Drosophila melanogaster: one gene and its partners. Changing the gene in region 3 together with the main gene of any one other region gives a genetic interaction. Each region holds a gene or a part of one and is shown on either strand. Other genes may lie near its edges.

Evidence for each region.
Region 1: of tum (region 3) and Pak, changing one suppresses a phenotype caused by changing the other (phenotypic suppression), as found in Drosophila melanogaster (one study listed by BioGRID).
Region 2: of tum (region 3) and pav, changing one enhances a phenotype caused by changing the other (phenotypic enhancement), as found in Drosophila melanogaster (one study listed by BioGRID).

What each region holds. Positions count from the first base shown.
Region 1 is NT_033777.3:6,345,316-6,356,089, reverse strand, and holds the start of Pak (p21-activated kinase), read right to left. Parts: upstream 5,195-10,774; 5' UTR 4,739-5,194; intron 2,968-4,738; exon of another isoform or gene 2,551-2,967; intron 2,003-2,550; exon of another isoform or gene 1,840-2,002; intron 1,653-1,839; exon of another isoform or gene 1,495-1,652; intron 1,177-1,494; 5' UTR 1,070-1,176; coding exon 910-1,069; intron 825-909; coding exon 670-824; intron 1-669. Other genes in the region: Hr83 (hormone receptor 83), read right to left, coding at 5,578-5,789, 6,223-6,847; CG18048 (uncharacterized protein), read right to left, coding at 8,572-9,897; small ribonucleoprotein particle protein SmD2, read left to right, coding at 10,318-10,319, 10,454-10,774.
Region 2 is NT_037436.4:4,238,956-4,250,871, reverse strand, and holds pav (pavarotti), read right to left. Parts: upstream 8,139-11,916; 5' UTR 7,995-8,138; coding exon 7,984-7,994; intron 7,925-7,983; coding exon 7,166-7,924; intron 7,108-7,165; coding exon 6,558-7,107; intron 6,498-6,557; coding exon 6,176-6,497; intron 6,121-6,175; coding exon 5,570-6,120; intron 5,509-5,569; coding exon 5,038-5,508; 3' UTR 4,639-5,037; downstream 1-4,638. Other genes in the region: ago (archipelago), read left to right, coding at 1-2,148, 2,218-2,399, 2,464-2,689, 2,750-2,960, 3,047-3,218, 3,285-3,396; Sqor (sulfide quinone oxidoreductase), read right to left, coding at 8,412-8,728, 8,782-8,968, 9,169-9,378, 9,437-9,637, 9,696-9,920, 9,981-10,086, 10,349-10,476.
Region 3 is NT_033778.4:13,851,947-13,862,786, forward strand, and holds tum (tumbleweed), read right to left. Parts: upstream 6,744-10,840; 5' UTR 6,540-6,743; coding exon 6,461-6,539; intron 6,398-6,460; coding exon 5,464-6,397; intron 5,395-5,463; coding exon 4,607-5,394; intron 4,552-4,606; coding exon 4,475-4,551; 3' UTR 4,204-4,474; downstream 1-4,203. Other genes in the region: CG30485 (uncharacterized protein), read left to right, coding at 1-872; Echs1 (Enoyl-CoA hydratase, short chain 1), read right to left, coding at 1,104-1,169, 1,235-1,959, 2,156-2,252; CG6553 (uncharacterized protein), read right to left, coding at 2,791-2,972, 3,029-3,806; Uba3 (Ubiquitin-like activating enzyme 3), read left to right, coding at 7,052-8,404; CG16935 (uncharacterized protein), read right to left, coding at 8,485-9,344, 9,683-9,896; CG13344 (uncharacterized protein), read left to right, coding at 10,151-10,158, 10,221-10,289, 10,352-10,840.

The DNA of each region.
Region 1 (10,774 bases), on a different chromosome or scaffold from region 3:
AGACAAAGGAGCACAATGAGACCTTATTGAGAAACTAATGAAGGCAAGTTCCGAGAAGTTAGTCGAGAAGTTTACTTACTTTCATTGGCAGCTTGAATAATAATAGAAATTGATATAGAGCAAGAATCGCGAGAGATAGATTTAGACAACAGAATGTATGTAGAAGTACAGTGTTTTATATGTATGTATATATGGTGAGCGCCAAAACAAATTAAAAATATATTAACAAATTTTTGGGTGACCTGGTGAGCAATATTTACTTGATTAAATTTAATATTTAGAAACCCGAAATGCAGTTCAGTGTTTGGGGTCTGATCGAGGCCGCCGGTTTGATTACAATCTCGGATCGAATTTAAAATTTGGAATATTAATAATTGCTCAATTTATGGTCCAAGATCGTGGCGTTTATAATAACTCCACACATTAAATTGTAATGCAATTACTATCGTCACCCAAAAATGTAATATGTAATCTGCAAACGAAACTTTAAGTCTTTGGTGACTGTGTTTTTGCATATAAATTTGGTGTACAAAAGCTTATCAAATAGAGGACATAAGCAGTGAAAACCGAAGATTTCCGACTTGCTATTCTTAGACAGAAAGCCGTAGGCATAATGGCGAGGCAAACGCGACTGAAGGTGTCCATAGACGAGCATAATAGAAAACTCACGGTAAACTCGCCGGTGACAGCATCGAATCCCACATGGACCGTGTGCTCAAAGTTCGTGGGATAGGAGATGTTCGGCTTGGAGTCCGTGTGCGAGGGCTTCGATCCTTTGATCTTGCTCTTCAGCGTTTTCTTCTTCCGATCGGAGTCGTCGGGTTCTTTTTGGGAGAAGAGAAAAAAGCACATTGTTAAGCGGACCAGAGGTCTTCACATGCCGTGCTCAACTAATCGAAATGTACTCACCCTTGGGCAGCGGACGCATGTCGGGCGGTACATCTCCCATACCGCCACCTCCCAGTCCTCCGCCACCGACGCCCACTCCTCCTCCCGATCGTTCATTGCCGCCCCGGTTGCTGGTGAGACGCACAGGCGGCGCCGGCGGTTTGTCTTCCTCGCTGGACATGGATTCGTCTTTGTGTGCTTCTGGCTCTTCTGGTTAGCTCCTGCTTCCTCCTCCTCCGCTTCGTCTAGCGCCCCGTTATGCACAGCTGTTCTACGCCCAGAAAACAGCTGTCGAGAGTGGGAGAAAGGGATCAGTATGTTGGCCATAACTAAGTATTTCGCCTTAACTAAAATGTACTAAATATGAGACAACTATCTTAACGATTTTGTATCATTGATATATTTTCAATTCTTATATTACTAAGAAAGACTATACATTTTTTAAATAAGTGCTTTTTCCAAGAAGAACATATAATTTTAAATGTAATATGTGCTAGATGTTTTCTAAAGCAAATTATTTAGAAACTGGTGATTTCATCAACACAGTTCGAAATTGGGAACAGTGCAGAAATGATTTAATGCTTGGAGTATTCCAGGGGTGCCAACCTTCTGTTATCTATCGCGAAAAGTGTTCCGCAGCTTATCTTAGTATATATTTCGTTCTGTATTCTTTCCCCAACGTATTGCAATCGCGTCATATGCTTCTACAAAATCACAAATTTGTCATACAACTACAAGAGATAGATTGTTTGCATATATTTTTCTCGAACACTTTGGCGTTGTGTGTTTCACACCATTCTGCACAAAGTTATTCATTTTTGGCTTTTGATTATTATTTTTTTTTTACCGATCTTCATGAAGATCACGTCAATACTGTGTGCTCTAGATTTTTTGGCACGCGGAAAGCACTTTGTTTTGCTTTTTGAATATGTTCAAAAACACAACACCTACACACACACACACACACACTGGTTGGCTGCAGCAGGAGAGGAGACATATAGCCGCAGTTATAAATTTATCAATATAGGCCGTCCGGCGAACTAATTCGGACTGTGGGCCCGCTGCTCAGTTGTTCCGTCAGCGTGTCTCCCACCTTCGAGTGTCACTGCCACTAGAGCAGGCTGCAAAAGGCAACAAACAACATACATCGCTCCAAGAGATTGTCTCGAGCACCCCAGCTCGCGAGAGTGCCTCCCCTACATTGCTTAAAAGCTGATTGATATGGGTATTCGAATTTTGTATACTCTCCGAAGCTAATTTTATAAATTAGTTGAGACTATACATTTCAATTCAGCAATTATTGCGCATCTATGTGAGGAACTTAAAATATTATCCTATTTAAGTTAAGTGTGCATTGATCATAATTGTATACCCACATCTATTCACTTTTAGTTCATTTATTTTAAATATTCATTGGAGCACCTATAGAGCATATGGAGTTAAAAAATATGACCCAAAATGGAATAATCATTAAAGGACTATATTTTAATTTCAGTTTCCATTAGACGCAAACCACTGTTCTCACACAACACACTTTAAGGGTATCCTCTCTACCTCAGTTGCTCCGCTCTCGCCCACGTAAACGATCGAGAGCCATAAAAAATTCGTTGCGATAACAAGAGTGGCTTCGATTGCACTCATAATAAAAACAAAGCAGCTCACGCATTGGGAATTACAGCAACACAAATGAGGAAATTAAGCAGCGAGGACAGCAACAACATAAACACACTCGAGTGGGCGGCATCGCAGCCAAACATATGAGCGAGAGGGCGAAAAGGAGTGGGAGCGCAGAGTGGCGAGGAGAGCAAGGCGGCTTTGGCGCCTGTCTGCTTTGCCGGCGACGTCGACTGCGCTGCTTTTATGATTCATTTATCATCGTCAGGCGTCAAGAGTCAATGCAGCTAACGGGAGGCGGAGAGTCTGGGACGAGGGGGTGGCGAAGTGTGAAAACGTTGGACAAACATTAACATACAGTTCCAACAGCTGTGGTCAACTTAATAGCATAGCGGGGATCTAATAAGATATCAACTCCAACTTTTGAATCATCAGAAAAAAGGGTTCTTAGTGACCAATATATGTACATATATGTGTACATAAGTATATAAGAGAATCATAGGATAAAATACCCAAATCATTATGTGTCATGCGGTTCATTCCGACATTACCTTTCTACCCCAATTTATCAAGTGCAATGTTTTCTTGCTAATTGTTTTTAAATTCACCGATGTAAGTAGATTGTTTACTCAATAGATACGCTCGTTGATTTCAATTACATATGTATGTATGTCGATACATACTGAATTTAAGATAAAAAGTAAAGGAGTATCGACAAATAGAAAGTAGTAAACTTGCTGTGTGATATATTCTTGACCGCAACTGTATATCTGTACTATAGGCTTTATGGGCATACGTTGGTTTACTGGCTGCTTGCCCAGAGATCTATAAACGTATATATGTATGTACATATAATATGCATGCAAACATACACACATAGGTGAAAATTCGTTTTTAAATCAAGCAAGAACAAACTTTTCGGGAGCGTGTGGGCGCCCAGAACTGGGTTAACGATGTACCGCATTGTGTTTGATTTCATTGACGGTCGAACTTTAGGTAAAATCGATAAAAAATGTTTTTCTTTCTGCAGGGGCCCATGCAAAATTATTCCCTAATGAGAAAAACACACATTGTAGGCACAGGAAACTCGACAACACTTGCGGCATTTAAATTAGCGACAGGGGTTGTCAAACGCAGGGGAGCGGAAGGGAGGAGGGTAGGACATTCAAAGTGACGCAGGCCTAGGTGCATGTTGCAACAACAGCGACGCAAACGTGGCGCTCGCTCCAAGAGCTGAAAGAAGCCACAAACATATGCATACTTCTTCGCCACGTTTACGCGGAGCCAAAGTTTGTGATCAAGCTTCTTGATTACTTTGACGACTGCTTTATGTTAACTTTCTATTAAAACTAAACTTAAGAATTTATTCATGGAATTCATTTTACGCAATTTTTCCGAGGATTGCTGTATAAATATGAAGCCAAAACATGACGAAGATCACCTTCTGCTGTCCGAAGACTTTAAGTAAGTTATCTTAGTATCAATATACAAAATGTAAGCATTAAAAATGATACGATGATTATGGTCGGTGCATATTTAGCGAGTTGCCACGCATAACTGCTGGCGACGGAGACTCTCAGCCGCTCCGACGTTGTCTATTTTGGTTGCGGACGCCAGCCGAAAGCAGCAGGCGGAAATGTTATGCCTTTTATATTCCTCTTTTCAGTTCCCTACCGCGACCGCTTCCGCGCGTCCCTGTCCCTTCCGCTTTTACCTGTGACCGTGCTAAGCAAATATGTTTTTCGTTGAACGAAGGAAGGGGGTGGTGCACTGGCGCACTGGACATGTGCCGTTAGAGCGGTAACTGTTAAATGCCAAATCGACTGCGAAATGTTGTTAGTTATTAGAGCTTTATGTAAATGTCTTGTATCGTGTCACGTGTGTTAATAGCGGGGGAAGGGGCATTGGGGCATTCCAGCTTGTTGACATTTGGTTGCTTTATTTTTGGGCTGGAAATTCGGGAGCAGCAATGTGCTAATCCAAAATAATGTGGCGTGGAAACCACTTGAAACGTTTTCCTTTAATCCACATACACGCACACACACACACGTGAGTTGGAAAAATCAATGTGTGCAACCTCTCCTTAGGCGGTGTGTGTGTGCTTGTCTGTGCATTGGAAGCCAGACCAATTGGACTAACGGTGCACTCTCTTTTTATGAATGAAACTCCCTCGCCCCGCTCTCCACAAGACCATTCTACCCGCTCCACTCGGCCACCACTCTCCACTTGAACTCACTGCAAGTACAATATGCCTTGGCTGCCTTTCTTTTGCACGGTGCACCCTGTACGCCGCTTGCAGTCGAAGAAGAAACGCTTGCGATTCACGGATTCGCGTGGACACCACTTCTCCACTGGCTTCTTGGAGTTTTCCGAGCCCACAACACTTGGCCGCACTCGCACACACTCCAAACCGCACACACACTGTATTGTTTTCCAGTTTTCTCTGGTGTGTGTCATAAATGGCCGACGGACGAGAGGCACCAGCAGCAGTTAAAGCGCAGCAATCTTATGGCGCTCCGCAAACTTTCTCGCTTTCTAGCTTCTTTAGCAACGCGCGCGCATTTTCGGTCCTTGCATCACCCACTAATTGGTTTACATTATTCAGGGGTTTGTTAACTACGAAAAATAATTACAGAAAGACGACAAGACGGCCGCAGCAGACAATGTAGCGATGGCAAAAATATATCAATATATCGATAGCGAACAGAAACGAATATATTCGCTCCGTGACTTTTCACAACATATCGATGAGTTTTTTGTATTGTGATTGGCGACCTTTGAAAAAGTGTTTTTCAAAAAATACCACATCAAATTTTGAGTTCATAATAATCTCTTTGTTCCAAATATTTTTATTTCCAACAAATTGCATAGTGCCAATAAAGTTTGGGGCGTGTCTAAATGCCTCCATGAACGATTGTTGACAGAAATGAATGCATTTTTAGATATGGGTTGAAACTTCAGATAGCGAAGTTACTTTAGATGTTTGAACTGGCGAACAGAAAAACAGCCATTATCTAGTACCCTCTTTAAGACTAGGTTTTTCTTTAATTTTGAAAGATGAAGATAGATATGAGCCTAAAGTGTTTTTAAGATGTCCCTGACCACGCTGCGAAACATACAAGAAAGCGCGCAGTCGAAGCGCCTCAGGCACAGCTGCCTCAGACCAAGGAGCAGTTGTCCGAACCGCAGGTAGTTGGATTGCTGCAGGGTGTAGCGGGCTAAGGAGATCAGGGCGGCTTTAGAGTGGCTTCCCAGGATAACGGCATACTCCGCATTGATGGCCAATTCTGTAAAAACATGCAATCGATATAAGCAATTAAAAGTATTAAAATGGGATATACTAATGGTGGTTTGACTTCCTATTAAACTCTTAATTAAATTAAAACGATGTAAAAGGTCTTAAATCTGTCTCTAATCTTGAATCTAATCAAATTTTATGGTTGGTTCAAACAAACCAACTGCACATGCTGGAAAATTTTCTTTTGAATTTATTAAGCCCAAAACGGAAACGTTTTTTCTGGGGTTAAGAAAACTGCTTGGGTGTACTCTTTCATGCAGAATCAAATAGCAAAATCTATACATAGCGTACATAGGATTTAAATTTTCGTCTAAGAAATCACGTCAATATGTGTAAAAACATTGAAAATTGGTTAGATGGCTTCAAACCGCTTTTATTTTTAAATCCTAACAAGCCTTTTTACCGCACAGGCGGAGCTTTACCTTTTCTGCACAGGATTAGGGACTCCATAAAGTTGAGTTCCAGGACGTCGGCCCTTAGCTGGTGGGCCTCGCAAATGAGCCGTTTGAGCTGCTCATCGCCGCAGCCGTCGATCATGGCGCTGATGTCCAGAGACCAGTGGGACGCTCGCAGGACGAAGATCTCGCTCCACACCACCTGAAAGATGGCGTCTTGTTGGCAGCGATCCAACAGAGCGAACTGCTCGTTGGCCTTCGCCTGGCGCAGGCACGTGACAAGGATCTGGGCGAGGATCTGGAAGTGCAGCGCCTGGGAGTGGGGCGTCGGGGATGGCGCCGCCTGAGATGGCGGAGCTTGTCTCCGGCCAGTGCGGTAGAGAGCCACCTGCTGGTTGCGCGGACCGCGCTCCTCCTGAACCGCAGCAGCGTTCATTCCCACGGCCAGGCATCGCTGGAAGCGGCAGGAGGGACACCAGTTCCGCCGCGCCTTGTCCACCACACAGTTCCCGACCAGAGCGATGCAGGCGTAGCTGCTCCCGCGCCGCACGCTCCGCTTGAAAAAGCAGGAGCACCCATCGCAGCAGGACACGCCGTAGTGCTTCCCGGAGCTCTGATCGCCGCACACTGCGCAGGCACTGAAGTTCGACATGGTCACCGGTTGGCACTGCTTGCCAATGAGCCAAAGAGTCGCCGCGGACTGAATCAGCTCATCCCGGATATTGGCGGTTTTATATGCCACCTGGATGTGCTACACCCGCAAATGATATGCAAACCAGTTACACAGAGCAAAAATATGTTTCCTAACTAGAGATGGAAATTGTATTTCAATGGGATCCAAAGAACAAATTCCTAAAAGCGAAATATCACTAAAATATATTTTATTCAAACTTAGGACTTTCAAAACTAGAATGCAAGCACCAGAAACCTTTTAAAATAATTAAGATATTTGTGTAAGAAATATATATAGTTTGATAAAAATTAAACAGTATCGGTATACGATAAGTTTTTGTTATATATCAATCTCGTATTTAAATATTTAGTCGTAGTCAAGTTAAGATATAAATCCAAAAAAATTTGATATAGATTTCTCCCAGTGTAGTAGGGCCTTGTGCCAAAGCGTGATTTGAGGATTTTTATTTGCCCGAGACGCCCCTGGCAGGGGGCGTGGCGCGTCAAAAGTGACAATCATCTACTACTATTGCGGACCGTGTTAACAATTTGTAAACAATTATTGTTTTGCTCTGTGATTGGACGTGCGCTCGCCACTCGAGGTGTCCGCGTTGAGGTCCTTTTGTCCTGACATTTCGGGCAAACAGCGAAGACGTTCTTTGGGGGTTGGGCTTAGAGAAGTTCTTATTCCGGAAATTCTCGAACTGTTTAATTAGACGTTTGTTTTAAGTCGCAACTTTTACCTAATTCTAGGTTAATAGGCGAATCACATCTTAAACAGAGGGATATATTAAATAATGAGTTCAGTCATAGAACGGCTTAGATCTCTTCGTCGGTGATATACACTGATAAACAATTGGGAGCGGGTGGAAGATTGCATTAGTCAATCGAATGATCTCAAACTTGCCTTAGCCAACCATTTCAGGCCTGGAAAGTACTGTAATGCAAGTACTTGTATTAGTCAGTGTCAGTGACTAATTCCTTCCATACTCCTTTCAATAGGTTCATTCCTAGCCAGTTACTAGCTCACGTTGGTCTAAAAATCTTCTTAAAAGCAAGCCCATAAAAAGAGAGGTTGCTCGGATGACAGGACATTGGGCATTTTTTACTAATCTAGTCTATATTCGATTTAGTCCATCAGTAAATGAAAGATTAAATTAGGGTCATTCCAATGATGTTGAAGAACATCAAAGTCTTTAAGGATATGGGACTATTTAACAAACGCTTAGTTAAATTCAAATAGGTTTCTAATAATCCGATTCTCCAAAATATTGTTCATGTTGGTAAATTTAAATGTAATAAATAGTAAAAGATAAGTTCAAAATAAGCTATGTCATTTGTCAACATTTCCGTAACTCTTTTTTGTAACAATATATAAATTTTGCATGAACATTTTATGGTAATGACACCATTTAAATTGTGCAAAATAGCTCGATATAAAAAACATTAATTCTACAACTAAAAAAAATTACCTATGCGGACCGCTTCAATAAAAATGTCTTCCTAGCTAATAAATATTTTAATAAAGCGAAATAAAAATATGACATTGCATTTTCCTAGTTAAATATTTTTCGTCACAAAAGATGACATCAGAACATTTTTATGGCGATGGTGCGATCGTCACTAGTTTTTAGTAAATAATGAAAAATTTAAATCCAGGAGCAGGATATGAATTAAGGAAGGAGAAAAGTCATTTTACTTAAGTCAACAGCATTTATTTTGGTCCAGCTTAGGGCTGGTCGGTCTGGCCAGCAGAACCACGTTTTCCAAAGTCACATCCCTGGGAACATAGAACTTAAGTTCTGCTTGATATCCGTGGGATCGTAGATGCTCCAGTCGTCCATAATCCAGAACCCGCTTGCACTGTTGGCCAATTTGTTCGCGCTCCTGGCGAGTTAGACGCTGCGTGTTCGTCTCGGTGAGCTGAAAGTCAGCCGATTCCATGGCCTTACGCCGCTCTCGGCTTAAGCCCGTGCCACAAACTGCCCAACTGACCATTTTGGTTAGGATAACGAACTCCCGTGGTCCAATTCCAGCTTCCTGAAGAAACTTGCGTCCCACGTAGGAGCGCCAGGAGCAGCGATGATGACAACACAGGGCGATGAGAACGTAGTCCGAGCTGGCATTTCCATCACCGAGTATACATCTCAGGGTCAAGTCTGTAGCTGCTCCACAGAGGTGCTTCGAAAAAGCCACCGTTCGTTGGGTTTTCTTTAGCTCCGGCAGAGCAGAAAGCTTAAGATCAGCGATATCAGCACGGATACGTTGCACCACCTCCCTGTTGGCCAACTTGTTGTCCTTCTTGTGCCGCAGGGACATTCGATCGATGAGGACCACCTGTGAGTGACTCAACTTCTGTTCCTGCAATACGGTGGCCAAAAAGTAGGCCAATTGTCCCTTTCCGGCTCCGAATTCTATATAGCTCGTGTGATCCATCAACTGGTGATCGTGTTCCAGGATGCCCAGCAAGCTAGTGGTCTGGGTGAGCTGGCGTAGCGTTTCCTGGCCGTAGTCCTTGCGACTAAGTTCCTCCTTTAGGGATTCGTGCTCCAGCTGCAGTTCCTGTATGCTGGAATTGATGTGCTTGTCATACAGATTCTTAACTTTGTCGATCAGACTGTAGAACTCTTCATCCGCCAGTTCGTGCAGTTTTATTTGATTGAATTTGTTCAAATCTTCGTCTGTTTCCTTAAGATTGTCTCCAGAATTCACTCCTTTTACAATGTAGGGCAGTGAACTTTCCTGATCCCTGGCATTGCAAATGGTCAAGTGTTTGGCTAGTTTTCTTTTAAACACGGTATGTTTGTGATCAAGCGGGCAGGGAATACGTTCCTGGAAGGAATCTTCTCTAGCTTTTTCATCGCAAGTTGCAGTGGTGGCTGCCGATGAGGCATGGGCTCCACAAAACTCACTGCCCTTGTTTGCAGTCATCTTGCAGCGGCGCTTTTTGCGTAACACCCAGTAGGAGCAAGTGGTGGTTACCGGCTTCTCCGCCTTGACAGTGGTCATCGTCTCTTTCACAGGTTCCATTCGTTACTTTTATTTTCAAAATAAATTCCTCCCAATTCGGAACTCGTGCCAGGCAGTGTGACCAAGGCTGGCACACTAGATAACACTATTACCAACTTTTCACAAAAATGTTTTAACTATGGTCTTAAATATGTTTACACTTCTTACATTGAATATTTTAATAAGTTTTTTAATAAAAAACTCAAATTGAGCTTGATTTTTCAAAATAATAGTTTATTTAATTTACGCGAATGCCAAACGCCGATAGTTAGCTTTGAAATTCAGGGCTGGTCGAGTGCAAACGTCCTCAGAGCTGGTAACACTGCAAAAAAAACGAAGCCGCGCTGAATACTTTTGCCAACAATAAACGCAGAAAACCAACTGAGAAGCGAAACAAGAAGACTATCAACATCATTTAACAAGCCATAGTTATAATCCGCTATGTAAGTATCCCGGGGCAGATGGGACAAACCATCGGAAATGGCGTAACTGGCAGCGGCATGTGCGCCGGCATTTTGCATTGTTAGCACCACGCTCGAGTTGTGGGTGAAATACTAATGTACTGTGTTCTCTGCAGGGCTCTTGTGAAACCGAAATCGGAGCTGACCCCGGAGGAGCTGGCGCGGCAGGAGGAGGAGGAGTTTAACACCGGCCCGCTGTCCGTGCTCACGCAGTCCGTGAAGAACAACACCCAGGTGCTCATCAACTGCCGCAACAACAAGAAGCTGCTGGGCAGGGTAAAGGCCTTCGATCGGCACTGCAACATGGTACTGGAAAACGTGAAGGAGATGTGGACGGAGCTGCCGCGGACCGGTAAGGGCAAGAAGAAGGTGAAGCCCGTGAACAAGGATCGGTTCATATCGAAGATGTTCCTGCGAGGCGATTCTGTCATCCTGGT
Region 2 (11,916 bases), on a different chromosome or scaffold from region 3:
CAGATGAGCCTCACGGCCAACACCGTTTCGAATCCCTCGCCAGCAGCCTCTGCCAACGCCGCCGCCCCAGAGGAGGCCTCCACTTCCAACTCCAGCTCAACCTCCAGCTCTGCCTTGTCGAGGGCAGACATTGAGTCCATGGATCTGATCGAGCGTCGCGACTTTGAGACGGAGCAGCGTCTCACGGGCGGCATAATCCTGCGTACCAGCTCCATGGTGAGCCAGAACAAACTGAATCTAAGTCTGATCAAGTCCATGGCGGGGGGAAGCAAGGCGGCCAATGGATCGGGTACGGCCAACAGTGACGACTGGCCCAGCAGCAGCAATGGGCGGACCGTCTCATCGGACAGCAAGTACACCTACAAGGATCTGTCCACGACTCCAACGAGCAGTCGCAAGTACACGAATAGCCGGCTAAGCAAGTCCACTGCCAAATTAAATCTGGGATCCTCGTTGGGCGCCTCCAGCTGCAGCCAGCACCGGAGTGGTTCCAGTTCCACTTCAAAATCCATGGAGTCATCGACCAGTTGCACTGGAGCTGCCCGAACGGACGTTTACACAAACACCAACTCGAATGATTACCCCAGTCTGGCTCCAACCACGTCTGGTTCGTCCACATCCGGGGGAAGCTGTCAACAGGATCAGGAGGAGAATGTGAGTGCATCCGTCTCGTATAGCTCGGTGGGATCGCAGACCTCTCAGGAAAGTGGTTGCAGTCGCACCACTGCCATCAATCCAACAGCTGCCTGCTCCACCGGATCGGCCTGCTTGGGTGACTCTCAGGCCTCGACATCGGCTTCTACCTCGTCCGGAGCCGGAGCGTCCAACCGTTGCCAGTATGCCACTACATCGACGACAAAGGCAGCTCGCCAGGTTAATGCCAGCGCCCAAACCCAGGAGCGTTTCCTGACTCGCAGCAATCCTCCAGCTGCTAGTGGAGCGGGGTCGGTTGGGGCAAACCCGACAGCATCTGTTCGGCAACGGCGAAACGGTTCCAGCGATGTTGTCCACCTGGAAGTGGTGGTGGAAGAGGGAGCTGGCGGAGGGGACGGCGGCGTGGTGGAGCCCGGCGACTTTAGTGCCGAGGAACCTTGGGCCAACTGCGATGAGGAGAACAACTGTTCCGATCTGGAGGAGATTTGCACATGCCAGAACGGTAACGGAAGCAGCTACGGCGGAAGCAATGCCAGTCTCAGCGAGACTTTCGACATGGACGCCATGGATCCCGATGAGCCCATTTCCTTGTCGCTGTCCTCTGCCTCAGCTGGCTTCACCGAATACTCGCTGACCAATCCCAGCTCGCTAATGTCTCATCAGCGCAAACGAAAGTTCAACGAGGGACGTCTGCTGGATGGCGGCGACTACTCGGTGACTATATCTTCCAGCGGCGAAGTGGGCGGACCGGGTTCAGGTGTGAGCGATAATTGCCGCAAGCGGATTGCCTATGATTTTGCATCTACGCCGCGCTCCTCGCAACATTTGGGACCCACGGCAGTGCTATCGGTGACGCCCTCATCGCATCTGACTAGCTCCACGCCGGGATCGGCTTTGGGTCGTCGCACCCCACGTTCCGTGCCGTCTCGTGACAATCCGCCACCAGAGCTGCAGCACTGGTTGGCACAATTCCAACGATGGTCCCATGTCGAGCGATTGCTGGCCCTGGACCGTCTCATCGATCACTGCGATCCGTCTCAGGTGCGGCACATGATGAAGGTGATTGAGCCGCAGTTCCAGCGGGACTTCATCTCCCTGCTGCCAAGAGAGCTAGCCCTCTTTGTGCTCTCGTACTTGGAGCCCAAAGACTTGCTGAGGGCAGCGCAGACCTGCCGCAGCTGGCGCTTCCTGTGCGACGACAATCTGTTGTGGAAGGAGAAGTGCCGCAAAGCCCAGATCCTCGCCGAGCCGCGTAGTGATCGCCCGAAACGGGGACGCGATGGCAACATGCCGCCAATTGCTTCGCCCTGGAAGGCCGCCTACATGCGTCAGCACATCATCGAAATGAACTGGCGGTCGCGACCTGTGCGCAAGCCCAAGGTACTCAAGGGCCACGACGATCATGTGATTACGTGCCTGCAGTTCTCTGGCAATCGCATTGTGTCCGGCTCCGATGACAATACACTTAAAGTATGGTCAGCGGTGAACGGAAAGGTGAGTAAATCGAACAAGCAATCATTTAATGTTTCCCTGCTAACGAGATATCTTTCTCAACAACTGTAGTGCCTGCGCACTTTGGTTGGTCACACCGGTGGTGTTTGGTCTTCCCAAATGTCCGGAAATATCATCATTTCAGGCAGCACGGATCGCACGCTCAAAGTCTGGGACATGGACAGCGGCGCATGTGTGCACACACTTCAGGGGCATACGTCCACTGTGCGGTGTATGCATTTGCATGGCAGCAAGTAAGTTAAAACCACACACAACTATCCACTAACCAATGCTGATTGTTGACGAATTTCTCAACAGAGTGGTCAGTGGCTCGCGAGACGCAACCTTGAGGGTTTGGGACATTGAACAAGGCTCCTGTCTGCACGTTTTGGTTGGTCACTTGGCTGCTGTGCGTTGTGTGCAGTACGATGGGAAGCTGATTGTGTCCGGAGCGTATGATTATATGGTGAAGATCTGGCATCCGGAGCGCCAGGAGTGCCTGCACACACTGCAGGGCCACACAAATCGCGTCTACTCGCTGCAGGTAAGATAGTCAACACTTCTTTGTCGGACTTTGCCGTAAACCATTCTAAATTTCACACAGTTTGATGGCCTGCATGTGGTATCGGGTTCATTGGACACCTCTATTCGCGTGTGGGACGTGGAGACGGGCAATTGCAAGCACACCCTGATGGGTCATCAGAGTTTGACCTCTGGCATGGAACTGCGTCAAAACATTCTTGTCTCGGGCAACGCCGACTCGACAGTCAAGGTGTGGGACATCACAACCGGACAATGTCTGCAAACGCTGTCGGGTAAGTTTGAATCCTCCGTGTTTACTTTTCACTAACATGCTGTAAAAGATCCACTACTAATCTGGTACTCCTTAAATCCCCTTTAGGTCCAAATAAGCATCATTCTGCGGTCACCTGCCTGCAATTTAACTCCCGATTTGTGGTGACCAGTTCCGACGATGGCACCGTGAAATTGTGGGACGTTAAGACGGGCGACTTTATACGTAATCTTGTGGCTCTGGACTCTGGTGGATCCGGCGGCGTTGTGTGGCGGATTAGGTAAGTCCAAGACGATATAAATCCGCTCATTATAAATGTAATTAACTATATCTAAAAACTTTTCAGAGCAAACGACACTAAACTCATTTGTGCCGTCGGTTCCCGCAACGGAACGGAGGAAACAAAGCTAATGGTCCTCGACTTTGATGTTGAGGGTGCATGTGTGAAGTGCTCATAGGAGACGGTGGGGCACTTCCGGTGGAGCCTACGCCGCCGTCTCGCTTGGATTCAGGCGGTGAACGGTCAGGGACGGGGCAGCTAGTATACAGCTTCAAGCGAGATTTCATTGCAAACTCATCCAAACACAGAAAAGCACACACAGACAGATGCCGCGGATGTGAGGGTCCGCAACGTAATGTTGAATGCCTTGCCAACAAAACGCAACTGCTCACATACACCACACACACCATTAACACCACACACACCGTAACACACACACAAAAAACATTAAACAATTAAGGGAAAGAAGAGTAGGGTAGTCGGGTGGTCGGGGTGTGGCTGTGGCTGTGAGTGTATATTGTTAATAATACCCTTTTAAATTACGTTGCTTCATAGCCAAAATTCGTTTTCCACCGTAGAATAATTTCGCTTCTTAGTTTTTATTGCTATTGTGTATATGGCAAGAATCGATTACCTTAATGATAATATTATGATTATGATTACGTATTATAAAGCGCAGATTTACAACTGCAGATGCAAATAATTGTTTCGCGTCGTGTGAACCTGAGAGAGCGTTTATGAGAACAGAGCTTTATATTGATTAAATTGTAATTTGTTTAAATGAAATTTGGATAAGATGGATATGTTAATATTGGCCCACCACTTGAGTTGAGTTTGCCGCCTATTATGTTTACATTTGTGGTTTTGTTTCGTCTCGTCCAACTTGTTTTGTTTAATTGTACTTGAACGGGTATGTACCTAAATTCTATTATCACGTTCTGATTGTTTCCCTTTTACATTTGATTTGATTCATTTGTCGTGCAGTAGCATTAGCGATATTGGCTTCCAATTCCAAATTCGAAATTCCTCATTTGCCAGGAACCTGCCACATTTGCCGCACATAGCGTTTAAGAGTCATCTGCCGAACTCATCGAGCAGCAACTCACACCCACGAAACAGCAACTGCAACATGAACACTGCAACACAACAACACTCACACACGTGAAATCATTAAGCGAACATATATTTTAATTATAGACTGATTTATTAGTAATTGAAATTAATCTACAAATATGTATGTGTAATGGTACCGTATGTATTTCAATAAAATTTATCGGTTTAAGCATAAATCTGAATAAACGCAGGAATAATAATAAAAATAGTTAAAACCATCTATGTGCCACATGTTATTGCTTCACGGAACTCTGGGAGCTTTGCAGCCAGAAAATCTAAAATTGATAAAAACCAAATTGATCACTTTCAGTATATGCGCGTAATTCACTTTATTTGTTCATTTTGTGACTGGACTGGAGTTGGGTTCACTCCGAAAAACAATAAAATATTTAATACTTTATAATAACACTAGAGTAGTTCTATGATTGGACGATGCTTGGATAGTTTCTAACAACTGCTCTTGGCAGATACCCTCCGGGTACCGACTATTTGGAGCAGGAAACATTTCCATTTGCGAGGGGTTGCGAATTCATTTACGGGATTATTTATACAGATTAACTTTTCTTTAATCAAACAAATCACTTCAATGCGATTCAACTCCAAAAACCGAAGTGGGTGAGTAATAAACTTAAATTTAAGTTATGGAAACTAAGTAACTATGAACTAAATGGGTAATTGACTTTGAGAATTCCACGCTGAGTCATTTTTAGATTTTCGACTTCTTGCTGCTGTGTCCCTCAATGCCGAGATTGCAGCGGGAGGCTACGTCCTGGGCTGAGGTGACCGTGCTGGGCACTGCACCGCCGCCCAGAGCCGAAATGTTGCCATTGCTGGGTCGCTTTCGCGTGGGCGAGTGAACCGGTGACTTCTGCTTGAGGCACTCCACATCGTTGAACACAACTTGGGCACCACCGCCACAAGTGGGAATTACATTGCCCTTATACAGCTTCGTCTCCACATCGCCATCCGTATCCGCATCCTGCGAGACGAGACAGTACTTCGTAGTTCCGTGAGCAGTCAACTCCTTCAAGTCGGTTAGTTTCGTTACGGATTTGCGATTCTTCAGATACGGCTGCATAATAGTGCCAAGCGGAACGGGATTAGCTGCCCGATGCTCCAGCCACTTGTCGCCTGCGGATCGAGAGCGTCTATGCCGATTGTTGGCCGCTGCTGCACCCTGTTGGGATATAAAATTATCAATAGATATTGCAATATTCTAGGATTAATCATACACTTACATGACGTGGCGTTGCATATATATCTGTTCGTGTAGCTGGCACCGAGGACTCCTCCGTGCGCGCCGTATATGCACCGCGATCTTTCTCATTAAGTATGTTTTCCGAGCTCTGTGACCGCGGCAAACTGGGCAGATCTTCGGACTGCAGAATGTTGGAGACCAATCGCAACTTCTCGTCCTTGATGCGCATGCGTTCCTGCAATTTCACTCGCTGTTCACGCAGCTTTAGTTCAAACTCTCGCTTATTTTTGTCCGACTCAACGGCCAGCTTGGAGCTGAACTTCTTCTTTTGCTTTTCCTTCTCGTGCTCCTTTTGGGTGAGCATATTCTCCTTCTCGTTCAGCTTGAAAGTCAGCTCTTCAATCTGCCGTTCTTGCTTGCTTAGCGTATTGTTAAGCACGTCAATGGAGCTCTCGTGGATGCGAACCTTCTTCTCGAGTGCCGCACTGCGATCGCGCTCCTGCTTGTAAACAGCCTTTAAGGAGGCGAGCTCCGTGCGCAGCTGAAGATTGTCGCGGTCAAGGTTCATCAGCATCTGCCGGAAGCTGTCACCTGAAAGTTGTGGAATTAGTATTTCAATGTTAAGATTAAGAAAGTGACGTCTTACATTTAATGTCCAAGTTGGCACGCAGCTTCTTTCGCTTTTCTATGCGCTGCTCCAGATAATGCATTAGCTCGCGGATTTTGATCTGTGCCTCGGGACTGTCCATTTCGTAGGCGGGAAAATCGGGTCCCAAACTGTACACCAAACCCACGTCCACCTCCAAATCCTTGGCCTCAGGAATGCCCAGCTCGTTTAGATTATTAACGGCAATCTTGAACAGCTTGTTGGCCTTGCGACGGCCGGGAGTCAGACCCAAATCTTGCTTCATAGGAGTCGCCCGAGCAATTTGCACCTCCTGGGTCATCTCGGCGAACTTCATCACTTGCTAAACGGGATAAATAAATTTTAGGGACCAGAGTACATTGTTGTCAGAAAAATAGTTTACCATATTCTCATCATAGTCCTCAATTCTTGGGTTGATGCACACAATCATGGACACCTGGCCTTCGCCATCGAAGTAGTTTTTAAACATGTGTGTGATCTTGGAGTCTCGATAGGGGACCTTCTTGGGTGCCAATCCATTGCTAGCCGCGAGTTGGTTCTCGCGCAGATATTCCAGGCAAGTGCGCAGCGTCATCAGCGAATTATTGATGTTGCCCGCCTCACGGAGTCGCACACCGGTGTTCTTGGTCCTTGAGGATCGCTCACTGCCCGCCAGATCCACCAGGGACAGTTGACTCACTGTGATGTTTTGCCGGTCCTGAACCACATTCTCACCCTGGCTATCAGTGGGCGCCTGCACCAAGCGTATATTGAACACCGAGTGACTCCTACTGGATTCTGCATTGAGAACAGTGTGTCCCATTCGTTTGCGCTTCTGGCCCATTTGAAAGACCTCGAGGGCGTCCTCCACGGTCTTGACCTCCACCTCTGTGACGCCGTGGACGAACATGTGTCGATTGGCATCTTCACGAATGATTTTGCTCTGCAAAGTCCTGTCGGGTCAAGAATACAGTTAGATTTCTTTAAATGTAATGCTTAATAAATACTTACTTCTGTATACCCGAGTCCTCAAGGAGGTCGTAGACGCTGTTATTGTAAATTTCAATATAGGTGACAAACACCGAGTACATGTTGTCCTCATCCAAACCCAGCAGCGGAATTGGCTCCACGGAGGCCTGGGATGCAATTTCCGGATCCGAGTCCTTGTGCCTGAAGGCAAATCGTCCTGAGCCAGCAAAACGCTGGTTCATCTCGTGTTGGCGCTCCAAAAGCGCATCCTCTTCGGACAGGATCTCGAAGCCATTAAGCTTGTCCGGCTTGAAGACGAACTTCTTGGCCTGGTAATCTGAAATGGTGCGAAAGAGCACGTCCAGGCAGCGCGGCATGATGCCGCGGTGTCGCAGGTTGCCGGTCATGGTGTACGTTTTTCCACTTCCAGTCACGCCGTAGGTGAAAAGCAGACTGTTTCGGCCTTTCAGTAGGTTCTCCACCAACGGCTGGGCCACAGCTGCGTACACATCCTGCTGCGTGGCATCCGGCTGGAAAACGTGCTTGAATATGTACTGAACCTCGCGCTGGGCGCCGTTGTGTGGCTTGTGATGCTGCAGCAGCTGATCCTGCGGATTCAGTGCGATCGTCGTGGAGTTCTTGACCCTTAGGGAGGTGAGATCTGCGTCGGATTGTAGTGGCCGCACTCGACAGAACACATTCACTGGATCCCTGGCCTTGTCGGAGGTGTCTCGTCGCTGTTTCTCCACCGTTTGATGCACCCGCGGAGTTTTCGGGACGACACGCATCGGCGTCCTGGGTCTGCAAATGGGTATTCTCATTGATGGAGTTGTTCTTTCGGGAACTGTCATATCACTTACACTGCCTTCATGTTGTCAGCTCGTTTTTGCAACTAATTTGATATACGGGAGTTGGGTTTCTTCTTGTTTTGTTGCTGGAATCGATCTCTCTTTTAGTTCGTTACCTTCAAATTTACAGCGCCAAGCGACGCCACGCTTGGTTTTAGAGTGACCGAACTTTAGAAAGCGGTTAATGCTGCAAATACCATCCCCTGCTCCAATATATACTTGATACATACTGAAACCGAGGCTATGTACAGTGCGTGCCATTTGAATAGGTTAAAATATTTAGATATACTAGATTTTAAACTAATTTAATACTTTTATTTATGATCTCACATACCAAATTAAAAGTACAATGTTTATAAATTAGTATGATATTAAGGTATGGAATGGTTATGATGATGCCAAATATTCTTTTAAAATTAATTAAAGATCATTTGAGGTCCCTATTGCTTTTTATTAAACTTTAGCACTGAGAAAATTTTCCGCATTAGTGCCGGTCCGTTCCAGTAGCCGTTCATCATCAGCTTCCAGTAGAGCACCGGCATCAGCTCCTTCTTCATAAAGAACATGGAGTACCTCTCCTTGGACTGGTCCAATGGAAAGGTCTCCACGGGGGTGAGGTTGTAATCAAACTCAGCCAGGATGCAGGAGCTGTAGCCGGTGACGATGGGGCAGGACGAGTATCCATCGTAGATATCCGTTGGGGCTTTGCCCTCGATCGCCGCCATTACGTTTTTGAACACAACCGGTGATTGGGCGGCTGGAGGTGAAAAATCAATTGAATATTCTGATCAGGATTCCCAACCCATTTACCTGCCGCCGCGGCCGTCTTCGAGTTGGGACTGGACGCCGAATCGCCGATGGCGAACACGTTGCTGTACTTGTTGTGCTGCAGCGTCAACTGGTCGACGTCCACAAAGCCAGTGGGGGTTACCAGTTTCTTGCAGTTGGCCACCACATCCGGAGTGCTCATCGGCGGAGTCACATGAAGCATGGAGTACTGAGAAAGATATAATACTTATATAAGTTTAATTTCATGGCCTTCAATTCTCCTATTTCTGCAATACTATACGACTTTAAAATTGATCTTAGTTAACCTACTCTTCATATTTCTCGCTTTAAGTAGAAAGATATAGTTCTAGGATCTAGATCTAGATCTATATAGTATCTAGAATACCCAATTAATTGACCAGCACTTACCGTTTCCTCATAGTGAACTCCTGGTTTGGCGAGATCCTCGAACACGGCTATATTATCTTTATGTCTCACTTCAACGAGATTTCTTTGAACATTAAGCGTGATATTTCTCCTCTTGATCAGTTTCATCAGGGCCTCTGCGTAATGCTTAACACCAAAAATCACGGGAAGCGATGTATTGTAGATGATATTGACGTTGTCGCGACGACCCATCTGAAAAGGGTTTCAAATTGAAGTTGTTTGCCAGATATTCTATCTAAATGATGCACACCTTCCTAAAGTAGTGCTCAGATATATAGGCGATTTTCTGCGGTGCACCTGCACACTTAATGGGACAATTGGGAAACGTGAATATAGCATTTCCTTTGTTGGTCCTGCGCAGACATTCGTACACATGATCCACGTACTTGGGCGAGTAGATGGAGCAAACATTACTGTCGGGGGTCTCCAGGGCCTCCACCAGGCCAGGTATCTATGGATATGTGGATATGGATATTAGCAACTATTAAACGTACTGATACCCTACGTACCTTTCCATAATTGAGCTGCAGTCCGGTGGCGATGATCAGGAAGTCGTACTTGATGGTCTTGCCACCAGAAGTGCTAACCGTATTATTATCCGGATCGAACTCCAGCGCCTTCTCCTTCACCCATTTGGCCTTTGTGGGCAGCACATCGGCCATTTGGCGGTGGCTCTGATCCAATCTCTTCATACCACCTCCTATTAGGGTGAACATGGGTTGGTAGTAATGTTTCTATGGGGAATTATCGCGCTATGTCATAATGGATTATTTACTGCCTTTGGGCTTACTCACATCTTCCGGTTCCAGGACGACCACCTTGTCGCTGCCCAAACGTGAGGACAACTTGGCGGCCATGGCACACCCACCGGTGCCACCGCCCACAACCAGCACTTGGCATCTGGAAAAAATAGGATTTACTTAATTGCTGGAATATACAATGACAGACACCTCAAGGGAGATTAGTACAGTCGCATGACCACACCCACCATCAGTGCCATCTAACCATGGCCAACAAGTTATCTCTTCGTTATCGCCATTAATTAGTTACTAGCCTAAACATACTAATTCAATTTGTTTTGGTAGATATAGATATAGATTTGCCATGCCATTTGTTTCGCGGAAAATGTCATAAACTTTCGCAGCTATATAAACAAACTTACTCTTGCCGCTCGCGGTTCACTCGAGATGTGGACAGGAATCTGGTGGAGAAGGCCGTTGGAGCATGGTTGTGGGTGGCTAGGAGAAGCTTCTGGCACTGGCTGATGGTTCCTGGAAGGCGACGGTTCATCGCAACAGCTGGATGATCTTCGATCCCTCAATCTGCGTTAAAGAAAAACAAAACGGACTGCAAGTGCCCACAACCGATTGAAGACTGGCAAAAAAGAGCTTTCAATGGGGGGTTATCAAACCGGCTGCACTGGCAAAAAGTTTGGTCTATTTCAAATTTAGAAAAAACTTTAGAAATTTAAAAAATGCCGAAGATGCTTAGGCGGCACTGTGTAGTGCTTCCCAACATTTCGACCGGCTATCAAGGAAAACAAAACGAGTGTGGGAAAATTTGTCAGTGAAATCGAACATAACAACTGATTTTGAACACAAGTAAATAACACATTAGAAATTGTTAGAATTGTTTTAAGCGTACTAATTTGGAAAAAGTGTCAGGCTTCTAAAAATGTGGTATTTCTTAATTTCGCCCGTCGGCCATAAAAATCAGAGTGTACGTGGCTGAAAACCAGTTTTTATGTGGTAATAAAAATGGGGAAAACGCAACAGGTTGCACTGTAGTTTTCGGATGGGTGTATTCATAGCTTAACCTTGAAAGATGGCAAAAGCTTTTCAGCATGCTTTTGTACTCAGCTGTTTAAAGCTCATTTGGTGCTAAATAATCCAAAGCTCTAAAGTGCGCGAATGCTCGAAGCACTTAAATACTATCTACAGTGGATTTTGCCTACAGACAACACATGACATCATGCCTTAAAATACGAGGACTTAATTCTGAGAACAGCAAAGAATTGTGTGCTTATCGGGGCTCAATAAATAAAACAATCTGTAGGTGGCGCGTGTGCTCGGACCACTTGCTTTGTGTCTACAGTGGAACCCGGCGATAAGCGACCCATGAGATCATGCCCTTAAATACGGCTCCTCAGCGCTAACAAAGTATCATTTATTTGCCTGCTTATCGGGGCTAACAAGCGTTTTATTTGCCTTCTTAGTGCATCGGTTTATATTTATGGTATACCTCCAGGGGCAACCTTATCGAGTTTGAAGAATTTGAGTTGCATTTGCTGGTAACTGGCCATTACACTGTAAAAATATACGCATGCTTTCTAAAGGATAAACAAAAAAAAAAAACGCCGAAAAACTCGCATATTTTTATAATCAGGCATGTGGTTAAGTAACTGGTTTAATTTAAAATTGAATATTTTCACATTTGATTTGATTACTTGCGAGTCTTATCAAGCAATTCCTATAATATGTGGACATTAAATAAATGGTCAATTAATAGATTGCACAGACTCTAATCAGAATATGAAGGTCACCAATAAATCTTATTAATAAACTGCAGCGGTCATCTACTCATATACGTCAAACTCTAAATCAAGTTTTAAAAATTGCAACTAATATAAATTAAATGATTTTTGCAATTTTTCAGATGTTGATAACAATTTAATTCCATATTTAAATCAAAGTATTTCGTTAAAAAAGGAGATTTAAAAAACTTGTCTTC
Region 3 (10,840 bases):
GTGTAATATGCAGCGAAATGAATCCTTTGGACAGGAAAATCTCCTTCAGGGATCAGGACAGTATCCTGGATATACGCGGACCAAGAGATCCCAAGTTATGGTCTACAACTATAAAGAAAAGAGGCAATTCGATACGAAATACGCACACATCGGGCTCAGAAATCGTTACGTACAGGAGTACCAACTCCTCCTTTGGGCAACCATCCTGTTCCAGGCGGCCACCAAGAGGCAGGAATTATCAGAAGTCGCAAGCAAAGAAATCCCCACTACGTAACAGAAGTTGTTCCTCGGATAGTTGCAGTCATTGGAGCTGCCACTCAAATGATACACGCCAGACAGCTCCCTGTCAAGTTCCTCAGCCTTTGGTATCCCGTGCCCAGCGGGAGTGGGAGGAACATCGGGAGCGCAAAAAGCGGGCTAAGAGGCATGTAGAGAAATGCAGGCCGTGCACAGATTACTTGCTCACCTCACGGCCAACTGAGTCACAAAATCCGGGCATACGTCGAGGATTGGTTACATATCGAAACTACGAGTTTACCACCGAACTAAGTGATCCCTGTGTGATTGAACCAAAGGGGAATCGTTTCCGATTTACAGAACATTGTCCCATGCACAGGGATAAGAACTACTCACGGTCACGAAATTATCGACATTTAGCTCGTTGTTGCGATGACTCCGATGCCTCCAGGCACTATAAAAATCCACATGGCTCGAGAAGGATACGGGGAGGTATAGATTTCCATGAGATTGAATATTCTTCACGAAGGCAACGCTACACAGCGCACAATTTTCCAAAAAACATGCCTTCCAAACTCGAAAGCAACAAGACACAACCATGGAAGTCACCTAAGCACTTATTTTGTTTCGATTAGAAATAGGAGGATAATCGGGCTAGCAAGCCGACTGTCAAGTGGCCATACCATGTTTATACTAATGGATTACCACCTGACATGCGGACTAGCATACCTCATATACTAATGACAAATTATGGTAAATTGTTCATTTTCAAATTATCACGATTAAAGTTTTAATTGCGTAGAAACAACAGTTTTTCTTTTAGATAATATAAATGCAAAGCTGGCTGGGATTGATTAGGGTAGTATTTACTCGTTGGTAAACTTGGCAGGGCGCTTCTCGGCGAAAGCGGTCATGCCCTCCTTGCGATCGGCCTATTGGATGAAAGAAAATACAAGAGATTAAATAGTGTTAAGCAGATATTTAAACTTGAACTAACCGTGGAGAACGTGGCATGGAAGGTGCGACGCTCGAACTTCAGGCCCTCTTGGAGAGTGGTCTCGTAAGCCGTGTTAACCGCCTCCTTGCACAGCTGCACGATCAGATTGGAGTGGGTGCCGATCTTCTCGCCCAGCTTGACGGCCTCGCCCAATAACTGGTCGGCGGGCACCACCTTGCTGGCCAGACCCAGCTTCTCAGCCTCCTGGGCGCCGATCATATTGCCGGTGAGGCACATTTCCATGGCCTTGGACTTGCCAACGACGCGGGTCAGACGCTGGGTGCCACCGGCACCGGGAATGGTGCCCAGGGCAATTTCAGGCTGACCAAACTTGGCCTTGTCACCGGCATATATGATGTCGCACATCATGGCCAGCTCACAGCCACCGCCCAAGGCGTAACCATTCACGGCAGCAATGATGGGCTTCTGGGTGCGGGCCACCTCTGTCCAGTCGTTCAAGAAGTTGCCCTGGATGCACTGCGAGTAGGTGTTGCCCACCATCTCCTTAATATCAGCGCCAGCGGCGAAGGCCTTCTCGCTGCCCGTCAAAACGATGGCGGAGATGGTCTTATCCTTGCTGAATTGCTGCAATGCGGTGGACAGCTCCTTCATCAGGCCATTGCAGAGGGCATTCAGGGCCTTGGGGCGGTTCAGGGTGATCACGCCTACGTTCTTGCCCTCGCCGGCCACTTCGGTCTTGATGTACTCCCAGTTGTTGTTGGTGGCTGAAAAGAGATGGCATCATAAATGAGGTGATCGTATGTGCGCGAATGTTACGCAATCAATGTTTATTTGCCTGGAAAAGTACAAAAGATGTCGCCAAGAAACCGGCGGCACTTGATATCTTGATATTCCGGCTTAGGTTGGAGCTGGGCATCAATCGCGTGGACTTTGATCCCTCGCAATCAACCATCTACTTACAGGAGCTGCTGAAACGGGTGGCCACCTGTGGCTGACGGGCGGCTGCCTGCAGGACGCACTGGGCGCGGCTAGCGAAGATCTTAGCAATGTTGGCCATTTTCAATTGAAGGAACTCTGAGCCGGCTGCAAGTGCAATTCGTTATCTAATCTGTGGCGGTATCTGGCATGGAGCCACTCTAGAACTTGGGATACTTACGCTGCGAAGCACTGGAGCAATATTGGCGCACTAGTGGGGCAGGTGTGACCGCGTTCGCTCCCACCAGAAATGCCACTATTTCCAGTCACTGTTTCAGTCACAGTTTGGGTCGCAGCAACAAGTGGTTCTAGCATTACAGCTGTTAACGCAAAAGTATTGTTAACAGCCGAAATTAAAATGTGCAACCTAATAACACAATTATTATGTTCTTAAATCTGTTTTAATATATTTACAATATAATACTACTTCTCACGTTTTACTCTAAAAATAAATATACATTCGTATTTAAGCTTTTAATTTTTATGGAGAACTTGAAATAACATTATTTACATAAGATAAGCCTAGATAGTTTGAAATTAACAGTACTTTTTATCAACAACTTGGCTGGTAAATAAGTAAGTATGCGTGATCACATGTTTAGCTTTGTAAAAATTAATTCCTAGACCTTTGGTATTGAAGATGTCTGGGGAAGATTACTGCTGGTCTCCACCAGCCAAATGTGCTCCTCTCGTTGCCTTCTTGAGCCATTTTCTCGACGCACCCGCCAAATTAGAAACACCAATACCACGATTAGGAAGCAGAATATTACTATAACCAAGCTGAAAACATACGCTTGGGGTGCTAAAAGTAAATAAATTAGTATTAATGAAGAAACTTTTGATAAATACACAACTTACTTTCACAGTAAGGAAACTTCCTAGCCCACAATGCGTCCTGGCAAATGTTCTGGTTCTCGCCTTTCAGTCTGTGCTCCGCCGGGCAGTCGTAGTAGATACGGGTGCCATTGGCTACCCTTGATCCTACAGTGAGGATTGCATCTGTGAAGTGCTTAACCATAACGTTTGGCAGTTGGGGAACCACGCACTCCCCGTTCTCCTGAAGAGGATTTGGTCGTGACGCCTTCCTTGTTACAGGAACAGTGGGAGTTATCCTATGGATACTACTTTCCGTAGTTGTACTTGTCGTTGAACTGACTGTAGTCGTTGGTATGGTAACGCCCTCGCAAAGGGACTCCAGCTCATCGTCTCCATCTCGGCAGTCACGGATGCCATCACACAATTTGGAATAGGTCATGCATTGGCCAGAGGAGCAGTACATTTCCCAGTTGTCGCAGTTAGCCTGCTGCATCTGCGCCCGGCACAGCCAACCCTGCTCATCCGAACCATCCACGCAGTCCTGGACGCCATCGCAAACCGCTGTGCTGGCTATGCACGCACCGTAGCTGCAGCGAAATGCATAACCCGGACACCAGACCTTCTCACACATGGCGACCGTCTCATCGGAACCATCCAAGCAGTTGGCGCTCCCATCGCACAGCTGGTCCAGTTGGATACAGTCGCCTCCTCCACAGCGATGCCCGCAGCTTGTGGCATTTTGGGATCCCAAGCAAATGGTGACGGCTAAGGAGAGAAAAATCACCAGCTGAATTGAGAGATTCTGATGCGCTCCGAACATTCTAAATGGGTTCCAATCGACAGACTGACGGTTCCATGGCGCAGTTAAGGGTATTATTACGAGAGTTGTCCAAACCAGTTTGATGATGATACGGCTCTAGCTGTGCACAATTATCAGTCATGGGGTTTTCTGAGCGGCAGTCAGTATTTTCAATGACCGAGCTTATCACGTTTTTAGATAATCCTATCAAAGGGATATTCCAAAGTTGTATCGAGTTTGCCATTAGTTGTGATGCACGTTTTGTGGCGAAACATTCCCGTTTCCAAATCCAAATCCGGAAATGTTTAATATACTTTTGGTTACTAACATGCCTCCAATAATTTGCCATCAAGAATATAAAAAAGTAAGTTCACTAAACAGATTCAAAAATATTTGAACTTGAATAAAAACTTGTTATATTCTTTTATCGTTTATTTATATATTTGTTCATTGTTCTTATTGCTTTTCAAATGCATATTTTAGTTTATTTCTCTGGTGAGTATACTTATGTTAGTACGATAATAACGTGCTTTAGTTTATAATCGAACGCATAAATTATAAAGAAAAGCTTATGGTTGGGTTGGGTACAAATACAGCTCGGGGTTGGCTGGCCGGAAACAAAAAACTTGCAAAATACTTGAAGTAAACTTAAGTAACACGTCAAATGCTTTCCAACAAGGAAAGTCTCGTTATTTCTTGTGCGCAGATGCCGGCGGTGTGCCGTAAAACTTCCGCTTCTTAATGGTGCCTCCTTTGAAGGGAGTTGCTGTGAAGGAGAGATAATTAGAATAATTAAAAAAATTAGCTCATAAATAACTCACCATATAGCGAGAGTAAGTCATTTTTGTTGCTTGGCACCCGCTTGATAACTGTGGCCGGTGTTCTTGTCGGATCTATAACGATATATTGCTCCCAGAACGAAACGGGCAGCTCAAGAAGTGCCTTCATCACCTGCTTCTGGGTGAAAACTTCCGTGTAGATCGCATGCTGGTCGGGATCTGGTGTGGAGTAGCCCACAATGGTGGGGCCAAAGATGAGCGAGATGTTATCGATCGGCATTAGCACGACTGGGCACTGGGCAATTCGTTGGAAGTGCAGTATGAGGAAGGCCAGCGTATCCCTATTGGCCTGTGGTAGCTGCTTCACCGACTTAACCAACATATCCTGGGCAGTTTTGGTGTCAGGATTTTGGACTGCGTTTGCGAAATCCTTCCATTGGCTGGTGGGAATGAGAGGCTCTGTTAGGGACCTCAGGAAATCCTTGACACAACAGCACAGCACATAGATATCCGTGTTGCCCAAATGTGGAGTGGCCTTGCCTCGCAGGAACTGCTCCTTGAGGGCCTTGTACTCCCGCTCCGACGAGGACAATCGATAGAGGCCAACCTCGGTCAGGCCGCGGGCTTCAATCTCATTTACGCAGTGCACAATCAGTGCCGGGATCATGGGTGCAATAGATGGTGCAAAGTCCGTTACATAGCCAGTCATGGTCTTCGTCGTCGGTGTTCCCGTTTGCGGCACACAGCTAACGGTGAGCAGATACCGACAATCGATGTGACAGCGCACCGGGCAATCCCGACATCTCAGCCCAACGGCTCCAAACCGTATGCTGAAGAGTATAAAAAGTATTTAATTAATAAAAAAAACCTACTTGGAGCAGAACTTCTAGTAAGCTTACCGTTTCTGACACTGAACGCAATTGTCGCCACGCAAGAATGTCTTCTGACTGAAGGTGTGGTTCCTCATCAGTGGACGGTGCTGCAGTGGCGTTCCGGATTCAGCGACAACGTGAGGTGCCATAGCATTTACCGGCGTCAGCGGCGGTGCGGTGGCCTCTTTAAGCACCGATCGCCGTGGCGTCGAGGATAGTCCGTCGCCGATCCTCTCGTTGCCGGCAATTACAGGCAGCGACTCAATGGTCGACTCTGCACGAATCACGCCCTGTCCATCCTGGGGTATGGTGACCTTGGTGGTGGCACAAAAGCGCTCAGCGCCTTGACCCACGTCCACCGTGTGTTGCTCCACTCCGATTCCGACGCTAGAGCGCCGCGATTTGCCAGTGGTTGGTGTAGTCCCGGACATACTGCCATTCAGTCCAGTGCTCAATCGCGATCTCTTGTTGCCAACGCTAGGAATCTGGTTCTTGGGCAGCGAAGGACGATGCTCTCGCCAAGATTTTGATGTGCGCACATCGAGGAAGTCGTCCTCGGAGTGTGTAATAGACAAATCCGACAGCAACGATCCGGTGGAGTTGATGTCGCCATAGGACTTGTCCTCCCGCACGGCATTCAGGGACTTGCGCTTTCGCGACGAGGGCAGTGTGTGCAGAAAGGCCAGCTTGTCGCGGGTCTCGTTGTTCAGATTGCGCTCGTGTCGCAGCAGATCTGCCACAGCCATGATCTTGCTCTCCATGGCATCTCGTTCGTGTTCCGCCTGGCGGCGCGCCTTGATCTCCATGTCGATGATGCGGCGTGCGTGAAAGAGTTTGCCCTCCAGGTCGCCCATTTTGGTCAACGACTTGTCCAGCTCGTTTTGTATCCTGGCCGTCTCGGCCGCGTAGCCCGCGCACTTTTCGTGGTACTGCTCGAACATGCGCAAGAACCGCAGGAACTCTAAATGGAATACAAGCATCATGTAGGGCTTCATTTGCCTTGCGTGTTTTCAGTTTTACTCACCCTCCTCAGGAGTTCCATCGGTAAGCACTTGCATGCAGCGTCGCAGATCATCGAAGGACGCCAATGCGGAGAGCGCCATTTTTGCTTGTCTCGGTAGTTCTACGAATCGGTTTTCACTCGCAGGGACTGCCTGCACACTGGTTTCCTTGATTCAACTTCGAAATCTACTGAAAATCAGTAGTATTTACCCAAAAACGAGTGGCAAACGGAGCACGCTGCAAAAGACGCGCTGAATTTTTTCAAGTTCCGTTGTTTTCAAATTGACGCCATCTGCGCAGTGTGACCATTAATGGGTGGCTCGAAATAACAGTAGGGTAGTCATGCTAACAGAAAATATCGATCTGATCGTGTTAGAGATGATAGAGATTGTTTCAAGTTAACAATTCTTTCGGAATTAAATAAAAAATAATTTAATGTTATCCTATTAATACTTTTGAAATGATTATATTAATAATAATATAATTACAATATTTTTTTTTATTTACAATATGTCTTATATAAATTCTTATTCACATAAGCTACCATCACTAATATTTATTCCGACCCGAGTAGTGTTGCTAAACGAATCACAGTCTCGATTTTGTTTGAAAAATGTCTGTCCACTCACCCAATCCTGGCTTAATCCTCCAGAGCAAGCGTTTCAATGGACTGCGGAACATCCTGGAACGCGAAGGTCCCTTCTGCAAGGACGGTTTCGCGGCCTCGTCGGAAAACCTGGAGTTCTTGCAGACCAAGTGCCAGGTTCTGATCATCGGAGCCGGTGGCCTGGGCTGCGAACTGCTGAAGGATCTGGCTCTGATGGGCTTCGGCAACCTGCACGTCATCGACATGGACACCATCGAGCTGTCCAACCTGAATCGCCAGTTTCTGTTCCGTCGCACAGACATTGGCGCCTCCAAGGCGGAGTGTGCGGCTCGCTTCATCAACGCAAGAGTGCCTACTTGCCGGGTGACGCCGCATTTCAAGAAAATCCAGGACTTCGATGAGTCCTTCTATCAGCAGTTCCACCTGGTTGTCTGTGGCCTAGACTCCATTGTCGCCCGGCGTTGGATCAATGGCATGCTGCTATCAATGCTGCGATATGAGGAGGACGGCACCATAGATACCAGCTCCATAGTGCCCATGATTGATGGCGGCACCGAGGGCTTCAAGGGGAACGCACGCGTCATCCTGCCCGGTTTCACGGCCTGCATTGAGTGCACGCTGGACCTGTTCCCGCCGCAGGTCAACTATCCCCTATGCACCATAGCAAATACTCCCAGGCTTCCGGAGCATTGCATTGAGTACGTAAAGATCATACAGTGGGAGAAACAGAATCCGTTTGGAGTGCCCCTCGATGGGGACGATCCCCAGCACATTGGTTGGATCTACGAACGGGCACTGGAGCGGTCCAATGAGTTTAACATCACCGGAGTGACCTATCGCTTGGTCCAGGGCGTTGTCAAGCACATCATTCCAGCTGTGGCCAGTACCAATGCAGCCATTGCCGCCGCCTGTGCTTTGGAGGTCTTTAAGTTGGCCACCAGCTGCTATGACAGCATGGCAAACTACCTGAACTTCAACGACCTGGACGGAATCTATACCTACACCTACGAGGCCGAGAAGTCGGAAAACTGCTTGGCGTGCAGCAATACACCGCAGCCGTTGCCGATTGAGGATCCCAACACCACCACGCTGGAGGATGTGATAAAGCTATTGTGTGATTCCCCGCGTTTCCAGCTGAAAAGCCCAGCCTTGACCACTGTGATGAAGGACGGCAAGCGGCGGACTTTGTACATGTCCGGGGTAAAGAGCATTGAAGAGGCCACCCGAAAGAACCTTACTCAGAGCCTGGGCGAACTGGGTCTACACGATGGACAGCAGCTCACAGTCACCGATGCCACCTCGCCGTCCGCCATGACTCTGCAGCTGAAGTATCAGTCCAATGAGGTGGAGATGGTCTAAAGTGTATCACAGTAGATAACAATTTTAATACACAAGTCGTATATGTAAATAAACAGCAGGCTTAGCCTCGAGTTACGCATCTAAATGCTCATATCCAGTATGTACTTCTTGCCGGTGAATCCCTTGAAGCTCAAGGCAGCGGCCGCCGCGTCTTTGAACTTTGCCAAGGGCACCATCTCATGGTTGGGGGCCACGAACTTTCCCTGCTCCATCAGCTCGAAGATCTCCTTGAACATTTTCGAACGCTCTGGTGAACTGTAGTTCTCCTTGGACCAGCGAGTCATCCAGAAGCCTCTAAATGCAATGTCCTTGAAAATGAGGGGTCCAGTGGCCACTGTGACGGGTTCGCGGGACATTCCGCCGTAGGTGACCAGCACTCCGCCATTGTCTAGATGACGCGACACCTCCGTGGCGCTTTTTCCGCCCACACAGTTGAAGGCCAGACGGGGCTTTTTCAACTTGCCCGACTTGAAGATGTCACTGGTGCGAATTTCGGCCTCTGTTAGGACCTCGGTGGCTCCCAGGCACTGCAGCATCTGCTTCAATTCGGCAATTTCTGGGCGGTCGCGTACAATGCCAACGCTATTGATGCCCCAGGCTCGGCACAATTGGTGCACTGCCTGGCCGACGGCGCTATTGGCGCCGTTTTGGATGACCGTGTCACCCGGACAGAGCTGCACAAAGTCCTTTAGCATTCGGTAGGCAGTGGTGGGATTCACTGTCGAGGTGGCGGCCTCCGCCAAGCCAACCTTCTTGGACACGATCAATAGTTGATCCTCCTTGTAGACGGCATGGGTGGTCCAGGTGCCCAGGCCACTGGCCAAGGGAATGACGTGCTGTCCTGCCTCAAAGCCTTTGACTTTGTCGCCCACGCAGATGACCTCCGCCACACACTCATTGCCGCCAACGGCTGGAAACTTGGGCTTCACCGGGTATTTACCTGTAAAGGATTTATAATAATCATTATCAAAGTGACTTTAAACAAGCTAGGCTTCTTTAAAATTTAAAGCCACAACCTTGAGCATCGTTCAAAGTACAAAGATGTACTGATAACATTCGTTTAACTTTAAATGGATTACTTCTGATTATCCCATAACTGACTTTCAAGCAAGTGGGTATACTTAGAATACAAGTATCTCTGATCTTCAGTTCTTATCCAGTTGTTTCAGCAGAAGATTATCGTTATTAATTATGCAGTTCATGCCGGTTATGGCTATATTTCAGTTGTATCATGCATAATATATGTTTGTTTGTGATATATCCTAATGGCCAGCATACCCTGAATGGTGTTTATGTCCGCCGGGTTAATGGGAGCTGCCAGAATCTTCACCAGCACCTGGTTGTCCTTGGGATCGGGAAGTTTGTCCTCCACCAGTTGCAGAACCTCCTGTGGTTCGCCGTGCTGTGTGTACTTCAAGGACTTGGCCACCACCGACATTTGGCGGCTCCATTGGGCTGCGTTGATGCGAGATAAAAAGCCTCGGCGCAACATTTGTTAGTAGTAGTTATGATTTTTGACCATCAAAAGAGTAAAACGAAAATTATTATGCAGGTTAGTATGACCGTCGCTACATTGCTGCCAACTTGAATTTTAATGACGCCAAAGAGATTTATAATGTTATTTGCTGGTATTTTTGGCTAAGCGACAAACGGTCGCCGTGTTTTCTCCAAATTTCAGGTGTCTCAAATCGATTTTTTAAACAAAACCTCGAAAAATACTCAAAAACTGAATTGACCGGTGATAAAATGGACGCGTAAGCAAACAAATGTTAAAATTCCTAGCTTAATGTTGCATAACAATTGCGTACTCTTGCAGTTTACAAGACGAAGTGGAGTCGCTGGAAGCCATCCTAATGGACGATGTTTGCATTAAACGCACACCCAGGTAAGTAAAACAATACAATATATGTTTTCGATACTACAGCGAGTATTGCAATTCCCGAGAAGCGGCGAGGTGGAGCAGATCGAGACCACGGTGCTGCCCCTGACCGGTGAGGAGGAGGAGCAGCAGTACGTGTGCGTTACCCTGCAGGTGCATCCAACACCTGGCTATCCGGAGGAGAGCCCCACATTCAAGCTGCTGCGTCCGCGTGGATTGGACGATGCCCGCCTGGAGGCAATCCGAAGCGCGTGCAACGCCAAGATCAAGGAGTCAATTGGTTTTCCGGTCGTTTTCGACCTCATCGAGGTGGTGCGAGAGCATCTCAGTGGCAGCAATCTGCCCAGTGGCCAGTGCGTTGTCTGTTTGTATGGATTCGCTGATGGCGACGAGTTCACACGCACCGAGTGCTTCCACTACCTGCACAGCTATTGCCTGGCTCGGCATCTCAATGCCCTACGTCGCAACTACCAGGAGGAGTTCGATAAATTGCCTGCCTGGCTGCAGAAGACGGCCGATCCCTTCCAGGCGCTGTGCCCCGTTTGCCGTGAGCACAT